Linked DNA regions of Tribolium castaneum. The protein of the gene in region 2 binds, or shares a complex with, the protein of the main gene of each other region. Links are inferred from orthologs where the notes say so. Each region holds a gene or a part of one and is shown on either strand. Other genes may lie near its edges. The genes, in order: Rga and Not10.

Region 1 (4,338 bases), about 6.9 Mb from region 2:
ATTTTTTATTTCAGTTCTGGGATATTTTTCCATTTTTTTTTATAAATCTGCTCAGTAGAATTCGTAACTTATTTGCAAAAAATAGTCAAAAAAATCGTTCTCAAAAATATATTTATTTGAGAGAAGAATTATTGACTTGAGTCTTGAAAAAATGTAGTTTCAACAATTTTTTTCGGCATTTTCACCAAAAGTTTATTAACGAAGATGAAAACATAATTAGCAAATTTTTTCGTAAAGTTAAAAAAACATAATGTTATTGTTCAAAAATGCATATCCCATAAACACGTACTTCAACAAGAACCAAAAACAAAAAAAGACATACGATTTAAAACATCGCATAGATCACTATACTTTTTTTATAAAGCTTTTTATATCTTTAATAAATAAAAAAAGAATGGTAATTTAGTTATTTCTCTGTCTTTTGAACAATTATTTTTCGAAAATTTTTGCTAAAAATAACCAAATTAGATCGAAATTAATCTTGTTTTAGCTTGGTTGGCTAGATTTACTCAACTCTTGAACTGCTGGAGACATATTTATATCAAAAATATCGTAAAATTACCAAAAATATATCGAAATTGTTGTTCTTTGTTTATGTCACTCCATTTTGAGCAAAATTTCTTCATAAATAAGCCAAAACATTTTTAAGTTTTGAAACACTTTTTTGAAATAAATCCTCGGACAGTTTTCGCAAAAACAGGCAGAAAAGACACACATGTATCTTAAAATTTACATTATTTTAGAGCATTTTTATACGTTTTACAGCCAAAAAAGGAATTATATCGCGAAATTTCGTTAAAACAAGCCAAAAATTCATTAAATACGACAAAAAGTGTTGTTTTTGGATTTTCAACTGTGTTTTTACAGTTGATATACTCTATCTTTCTGACAATTATTTTTATCAGTTACTCAAGCCTTTAGGAATTTTAATAAATTGAGGATAAATGAACTGACAAAAACAGTTTTTGCAGTGTTTCACAACAATGACACGCTTTTGTTTAAACTTTCATAAATCAAAATCATTATTTATTTACACAACTGTATTTCTTAGCTAACTGTACTTTCGAAAATTACTCTCTACAAACATTTTTTTCCTTTTACAACGAATGCTTGTGGTTCTCCAATTTTTTAATTTATTTTGGTTACCTAATCTCTCGCGTGTGTTTCGACCAGTTGTCGATTAACCGTTTTATAAAAAAAAATTAAAAAAAAAACGTATTTGCACAGACACGTTTCATCAAAAACAAGTTTAAAAATTGCTCGTTAAACGTAAATAAAAATCGGATTATTCCACTGTATTATCGGAAATGTCTTCAAAATAAAATCTTGCAAAATCGGTATAATTATATTATAATCAATGCATTTATAACAACGTAATTCAGTGACACCAACATTTACATATAGTAAACAGTTTTTTGTCCCTAATACATGGCAACACCTGTTATTATCACACACCCTTTGGGAAATATTTTCACGGTTGGGTTTCAACAATTTTTATAAACATTAGCAACTAAAATCACCGATAATTTAGTGTTGCCAATAATTTTTTACCCAACTATGAGAAAAATTGTGGTCAATATAATTTATTTATTTATTTGAACGCACGGTATTTTTAACACCTTTCTAAGTAAAACGCATTTATGTTACGGGTCAGTTGCCATTTTAATTGTTTCAGATTTTATCCACTCTTTGCAAGCTTTGTTCAGCGAATTATTCGCACAATAAATGAAAATCAAAACTGTTAGGAATAACAAAAAGCAGTTTGGGCTAATTTACAAGTTTAAAGTTTTTGTGTAAAAAATAAGGAAAAATCGACGGCGTTCCTCGAAAATAAAACGCAAAATCAGTTATCAAAACAAATATCAATCGCCTTATCGATGTTATTTTAGCTGAGATAAGTGGCACTCACCGGATTTCGCGCTGTTTTTGTCGTTCTCCCGGGCACTGGAGGAGCCGTCGCCTCCACCCCCCGTGTTGTTTTTCTCCCCCGACGTGCTCCCCCCGGGCGATACGCCCTCCCGATTTTGCGTTCCCGGCAACGCAGGAAAGTCCTCTGACGACATAGTAAACTCACTCGCTTCGGACGTGGGCTGCTTGACCATTCCTACGTAGGGCTTCGCCCCCGGCATGGGGCTCGGCTGTGGAACGTTATCACCCGAACTTCGATTCGTTAACGAGGGAAATTCACTAAGATCCAGTAACGAAGGGGTGTTAGTGTCTCCTGAGCCAAACACAGAATTAAAGGAACTATAACCTCCCAACGAGTTCATGTTACCCATTTGGCTACTATTTCTACAACAGAACAGAAATGTTGCCATTTGCGCTTGACACTTAGGTTATGGTCGCTTTTGACATAAACAAACCCTAGCTGCGGCAGATTGAGGTCAGCTAGAGCTGCTTATGGCGGTGGAAGGATAGTTACCCCATTGCGGGAATTCCCCGCCGGTCTGAAGGCGCCCTTTGCCCGAAAACGGGGGTAACATGACCAGACATAGAGTTACTTCCGAAGCTAACACTGGATCTTCCGAGGCTGCTACCTCCTATGTTCCTTGTAAAGTTCAAATTCGCCATAGCTATCTGGTGCGGGGCGAGCCACCTTTTAGCATAACGGAACTGCAGTAGGACACTGAAAAAATCGCTCCTTGCTTCGCCACACTTCTTATGTTAAATTATCAGCACAAAAAATACAAATAACATCATAAACACACGAAACTTAAATGCACGATTTTCGCTTCAACTAGATTATTGAGACCACTTGATGAAGAATGCACGGTTCCAGGCTCGGTTAAAAGCACACCAAAAACCTCTCGCTATACAAAATAAAGGCGTAATTTTGACAAAGTAGATGTTATTGTCCAAGTTCGGTCCGCCATTACCGTCGGAAATGTCAAGATGGAGAGTGTCAACTGTCAGCCACGGCTTCGACCCACCGCCGAAAGATGGACATTGCCGCAGCCAATGCTAGTTGCATAACCCACACCTTCAATTACTCGATCCTAACTTAATTTCACCTTTACCCACTTCATAAAAAACACAAAAAACTAAGTTCTCGTGCCCCGTAAGCAAAAATAAAAAATATACTTACCTTATTCAACGTTTTCCGTATAGTCAAAGTATTCAAGCGGTAATGTTGGTTGCATAATTCGCATTATTTAATTACTTTGCTTATAAAAATGTTATTAACTATTATTTATTATCTTATTATGTTGATCGCCCATTGATATCAATAATTTTGACTAACAAAATCATAGGTCCATTGTTACCCGGCGCATCCACCATTTTTGCAAAAGTGTAACCAATAGATGGCACTGTTTTTTTGTGATTTTTTTTTATAGAAACTTTAATCAAAATAACGAAAACACAATCCACAATTAGATTTCGGAAACTTATAACGTCAAAATTTGACTTCTTATCGTATTATAAGACAATTTGTATAACGATATTGAATCGTCTGATGCGAAATAAAACAAAACACTATTATAAACGTATATTTATTATTATTACTTCGTAACAATGATTAAAGACATGCACCTTATAAAAATCGAATGACTTTTCTGGTTGGTAACAAAACTTACCAGGAAAAAAGGAAAAACACAAGTGTGTTAATATTCGACAATATTTCAAACTTGTGCAGCTTACAAATACGACTAACTTAATGCCGACTGGCCTACGACTAATCGACTAACCCAGCCTGCACGATATCACACAGAAAAAGACTCGAAAATTCACAAGATAACTCCAAATACCCAATAGAATTAAAGCTTAATTACAACTGAATCAAACACTTATTCAGCACAGCTAAATAAAAAAATATCAAAAGCAATAAATTCCAATAAAATAAACCTTAAAATTAACTCAATTATCTTGCAAATAATCAAAATACTGATTCACACACACACTACTAACAGTCCCTCCGGTAAATTTTCTCCATAATTTTGAAAAACAACTTGTGTGGAAGTCCTTTGGAAATTTGCTGGATGTGTGTACGGATGATGTTGAAGCTCTCCTCCTCATAGATGGCATAAGTGTTTGGCAAACTCAACTCTTCGTACAGGTTTCGGATGATTCGGACTGCTTCAGGGTCGGGACGGCCGTAATACTCCTCCATTATTTTTCGCTGGGTGGGGTTGGCCCTTTGGAGGGCCACCACAGCCAGCCAGGAGCACTTGCCCTCGCGGATGTCGTTGCCCTTCTTGCCCGTCACCTCAGGGTCGCCGAAGCAGTCCAGGAAATCGTCCTGTTCAAAATTCGAACTGTGATTTCTCGACGCAAAAATTCTCAGAAAATTGTAAAATAAAATAACGCCTGTTATTCAATTTTGTTAAATTAAAATTTTGA
Region 2 (4,403 bases):
CGCAATGAATACACTTGCAACCAATCACGTGAAACTTTACAGTTCCTTCCTAAATGAGTCAAAGTTACAACAAGCCATACAATTTTACCATATCACCTTATGACAATCCTTGCATAAAATTTGCACTAAATAACAGTTATACTGTGGCGGCATTGGCGTATGAGCAACTTCATTATCAAGATACTTCCACAACTGGGTCATATCCATAAGGGACGTCTGACATATGGGACAAGCATAATGTCCCGCTTTGAGTAATTGGTTGAAACAAGTGCGGTGTAACAAATGGCCACACATTGGAATATGGCATGGAATTCTGGAAGTATGGATGTCCTCAAGACAGACAGGACAATTGGCGCGCGATACGTTCTCCACACACTGCAAAAACAAGTTCGGATGTCTTACACGGCTGAAATCTAGTCTACACACGCATGCGCAGCGTTTAATTTTGGAATGGTGTTTACATGAGTTTGATATTTTTCACCCTTACTTTATGCCCGTTTTTGAGCTGGATTGGCAGGCACATGTTGCATTTCTCGCAATGGAAAAATTTGTCCGAGCCCCCAATCCTGCAAATGCCACAGCCAGAGCAATGGAACTGGTTCTTGTCTTCATCGTCGAAAAGATTGCACTCCAAGCAAGTGTACTGAAACAGGCGCTTAAATTGCATCAGAATCATTTCCCACGGACTTACTTTGCCAAATCTGATGCCACAGTTCTGACACTCTGCTTGAACAGGCTGCCTTTTCTCGCATATCGTGCAGATTAACTCCGTGACTTCTTTCCTGTTCACTGAGTGATCCTCCTTTTCGTCGTGACAGAACCGACAAGTGTACACTTTCTTGCAGCACGGAGTCTTGAAAAGAAAACACGACGTGATTGAGTCAATAATTGGCGCTAATTCAATTAAACTCAATAAACAACATTGGCCGGACGGTCTGTTCTAGCAAAAACTCACCACGAATTTGGATTTTCTTTTGTAATGGGAGCAGCCAATTGGCTTAATTGCCTCTTCGGGTGGCCCCTCAGCGACCGGAGTAGCTGCCCCTTCCATCATCCGCCGGGATTTGATTAAACGCCGCCGTATGACTGTGCAATTCGAGAAAATCTGTTTCTGGCACTAATTTTAGAAATACGACAGCATACGGAATAAATTAGAGGCGATCTTGAACTAAATAAATAAACGGGTAGGCAACACGGATTGCCTCCCAAATGTCAATTTCATTCAGGGAGAAAAAAACACTAGAATTGTTACTAGCAAATCACATTCGGTTGGCCAACTTGTATGAATTTTTACAGGATTTTTTCAAATTTCTTGCAAAGTTTACACTCATTGATGATCAAATAATTCAGACGACATTTAAAGCCGAAAAACGATCAAATTTTTTCTGTGGTATTTTCGTGTATTCAAAATTTAAATCTTGGACTTCACGAGTCGCCACTGACCTGTCAAAAAATTTTTTTTCGAAAATTTTTTGGAACTAAAGATTTGAATTATTTCACAGAAATATAACAACGAACTTAAACTTCCATTAACGTAAATTTTACGATCCGTAGGTTTTTTACAGTAGTGAAAGTCGGGTTTATTGTTACATAACCTCACTTATAGAAAGCTTGTGAATAAAAAAGTAGTGCCTGTGTTTGCAAAAAATCCAATAAATACAATGGCTGAGAAAGAAGAGTTTGAACGAGCTGTGGACGTTGTAACAGAGCAGGAGCAGGAATATGCACAAAAGGCTTTGAATGAGTTTAAAAAGTATGTTTAAGGCTTCCAAAAAAAACGAAAACTATTGACCCTTTTGTAGAAATAATTACGCCGGTGCGCTCCAATTTATCAATAAACTGGACAATAGAACTAACGATTTTAAAGTGGCCCACAATAAAGCTCTTGTGGAATATTGCAAAAGCGATTTTAGGAAGAACGAAACATTTCAAAAGAATTTAACCTCAATTTGCAATCAAGTATTACAGTCGTCCTCCTGGTGGGAATCTTTTAATAAGGCTCATTAACTTTTAGTTTAAGATTCGTCTCGATAAATTAGATGATGTGGACCAATGCATTGTTCATTATAATCAGGCCATTCTGTTATATCATCAACAACAGTACACTAATGCAATTTACATAATGGATCGAGTGTACAAATTTATTGAACCAATGGGTACAATTTTTCCAACGTGACTGTTTGTTTTTAATTTACTTTGTTACAGATGACGCATTAGCCAAACAAGTTAGTCTTTTTGCCATTGAGTTACAGCTATGTGTGCGTCAGTCTGATAAAGCGCTCAGTTTAATAAATTATCTGGAAAATCAATTAATCAACGGGACGCCAAACATCAAATTGTTGGACAAAACCGTTAAAGAGAAAGACAAGAAAGCGCCACAGCCCCTAGACCCAGCAATGGAAGAGTTTAAGAAAAAACTAATTAAATACAAAATCCGTTGTTACCTAATGAACCACAATCTCGAAATCGCAAACAAAGAAATCAGCAATTTGCTAAAAGACAAACAGAATTTCCAAGCCTTGTTCCTGGCAGCTAATTTAGAATACCTCAAAGGAAACTTGATAGAGTCCCAGAAACTTCTTGCGGCTGTACCACCCGATTATCTGGTCTACAAGTAAAATTCTATATTTTTTTAATATTTTTTTGCATTTGAATTTATTTAGCGACAGCGGCGAATCTTCAACTTTGATGTTTTACAACAATATGGGTGTGATTCATCACGCAATGGGCAAACCCAACTTGGCTTGCCACTACTTTCAGTTAGCCCTCAAGGAGGATATAGCTTTAACAAACAATGCAAAAAAAGACAAAGGCATGGATGACAAACCCTTGTATGCACTGGGTGGCTCAAAATACCACGAATTGATGTATAATTTGGGAGTTTCTCTTCTTCATGCCAAGAGGCCGGTTCAGGCGTTTGATTGCTTGATAATTGCAGTGCGGAGGTACCACAGAAACGCGAGGTTGTGGATGCGCTTAGCTGAGTGTTGTATTATGGCCACTAAAGAGGTAAGGGAATGAAAATTTTTTTTTAGTTTTATGTCTGGTTTCGGAGAATTTGTACGAAATTTCTGATCAAAGTGACCTATGATTAAGTTGGCAACAATAACTATATCGAGAAAGGTGAAAATAATGTATGTTACGTCGACCACAGTTATCGTCTTAATTTTTCTGACTGTTTAACGAGATCTCACAAAAGTCTAAGACGTTGGTTTAAAAGGTCTAAAGACTTGAAGAACGTAAAACAATATTTCGTTAAGCTTTGTTTTATTTTTGAAGAATTTTTGATTGAATGCGAACTAGACTAAATACACAAAAGAAAAATTGCATCTTTTTTTTATACAATAAATCAGTAGGTACCTTCGGGATAAGATATTGGATTAAAAAAAAATGCGAAACATGTTTTTTACTCTGTTTTTTCAAGTTGCAACTACCAAAAGATTCTCTAAATAATTATGAATAATTAATCTTTACATAAATAATAATTGACCAAATAAAATAAGAACAATTAAATTATTTTCATCCCAACTCTCTGACTTGTTGAGTAATTTTTAATAACAGAGTTGTGCGATATTATTGAGTTTTTTCATGAAAAACCTAAACGCAAAAGTGACACTATTCGGCGACTTTTATGCTTATTTTTCACAAACTTTAGCGAAATAATAATTGCGTTTCTACAAAAAAATGTGCAAACAAAGAACTATATTGACAAAATGATGTCATTTTCAGGACGGTTTTATAAAAAACGTCCAATTTTCAGTCCAATTTAGCGAAATGTAATTGATTAATTTAACTGCTCTTACATTTAAAAACTACTTACATGTTTACATGCCGCTTGTCCCCCTTTCGCATTTTAAATTACCTAAGACATTTTCTACAGAGTTTCGTTTTATTTGTTGGATTTTTTAGAATCATTTTCGAAATGTCATACGTCAAATTGAAAAGAGCGCGCGCATGCGCAATGATTTTCAACGAGGATCCCTTTCTTGACTAAAATAAAAGACTTTTCATCTAATATGCATTTGATATTCGTTATTTATTTCCTATCAGTGTCTCAGTTTTGCTTGTTTTTATCTAGCAGATTCTTCAATATTGCACAGAGGGGTAGAATGAATAGAAAAAGTGAGAATGTGCGACAAAGACAGACCCATTATTTTATGAATTAACGTAAAATTAGGCACGTAATTGTAAAATTTGTAAGCATTTTGATTGGGCCGTTTGAGGTCGGCCATCATGGTATTACCGAAAACCAATCACCTTAGATTTTTTGATTCATTCAAAAATTTACTTTTTGAATATCATTGGTCCACTTAAGGTCGGCCATTATAAAAAGTGAACAAGCCAATCACGTTAAATTTTGAGATTGATTCATTTTTTATTGCGAATGGTTAGTTTAATAAATA

Evidence for each region.
Region 1: Not10 (region 2) and Rga share a complex: the UniProt entries of both Drosophila melanogaster proteins name them as parts of the CCR4-NOT complex. The link is inferred for Tribolium castaneum from reciprocal best matches to the Drosophila melanogaster genes Not10 and Rga.

Annotation. Positions count from the first base shown.
Region 1 is NC_087396.1:22,481,555-22,485,892, reverse strand, and holds the start of Rga (regulator of gene activity), read right to left. Parts: upstream 2,916-4,338; 5' UTR 2,572-2,915; coding exon 2,423-2,571; intron 2,293-2,422; coding exon 1,910-2,292; intron 1-1,909. Other genes in the region: Fpps (farnesyl pyrophosphate synthase), read right to left, coding at 3,902-4,237. UniProt on the Drosophila melanogaster protein: Component of the CCR4-NOT complex which is one of the major cellular mRNA deadenylases and is linked to various cellular processes including bulk mRNA degradation, miRNA-mediated repression, translational repression during translational initiation and general transcription regulation.
Region 2 is NC_087396.1:15,622,257-15,626,659, forward strand, and holds the start of Not10 (CCR4-NOT transcription complex subunit 10), read left to right. Parts: upstream 1-1,403; 5' UTR 1,404-1,550; exon of another isoform or gene 1,551-1,606; 5' UTR 1,607-1,661; coding exon 1,662-1,753; intron 1,754-1,802; coding exon 1,803-1,959; intron 1,960-2,014; coding exon 2,015-2,156; intron 2,157-2,205; coding exon 2,206-2,614; intron 2,615-2,663; coding exon 2,664-3,009; intron 3,010-4,403. Other genes in the region: Rchy1 (RING finger and CHY zinc finger domain-containing protein 1), read right to left, coding at 1-49, 97-375, 488-643, 692-853, 956-1,054. UniProt on the Drosophila melanogaster protein: Component of the CCR4-NOT complex which is one of the major cellular mRNA deadenylases and is linked to various cellular processes including bulk mRNA degradation, miRNA-mediated repression, translational repression during translational initiation and general transcription regulation.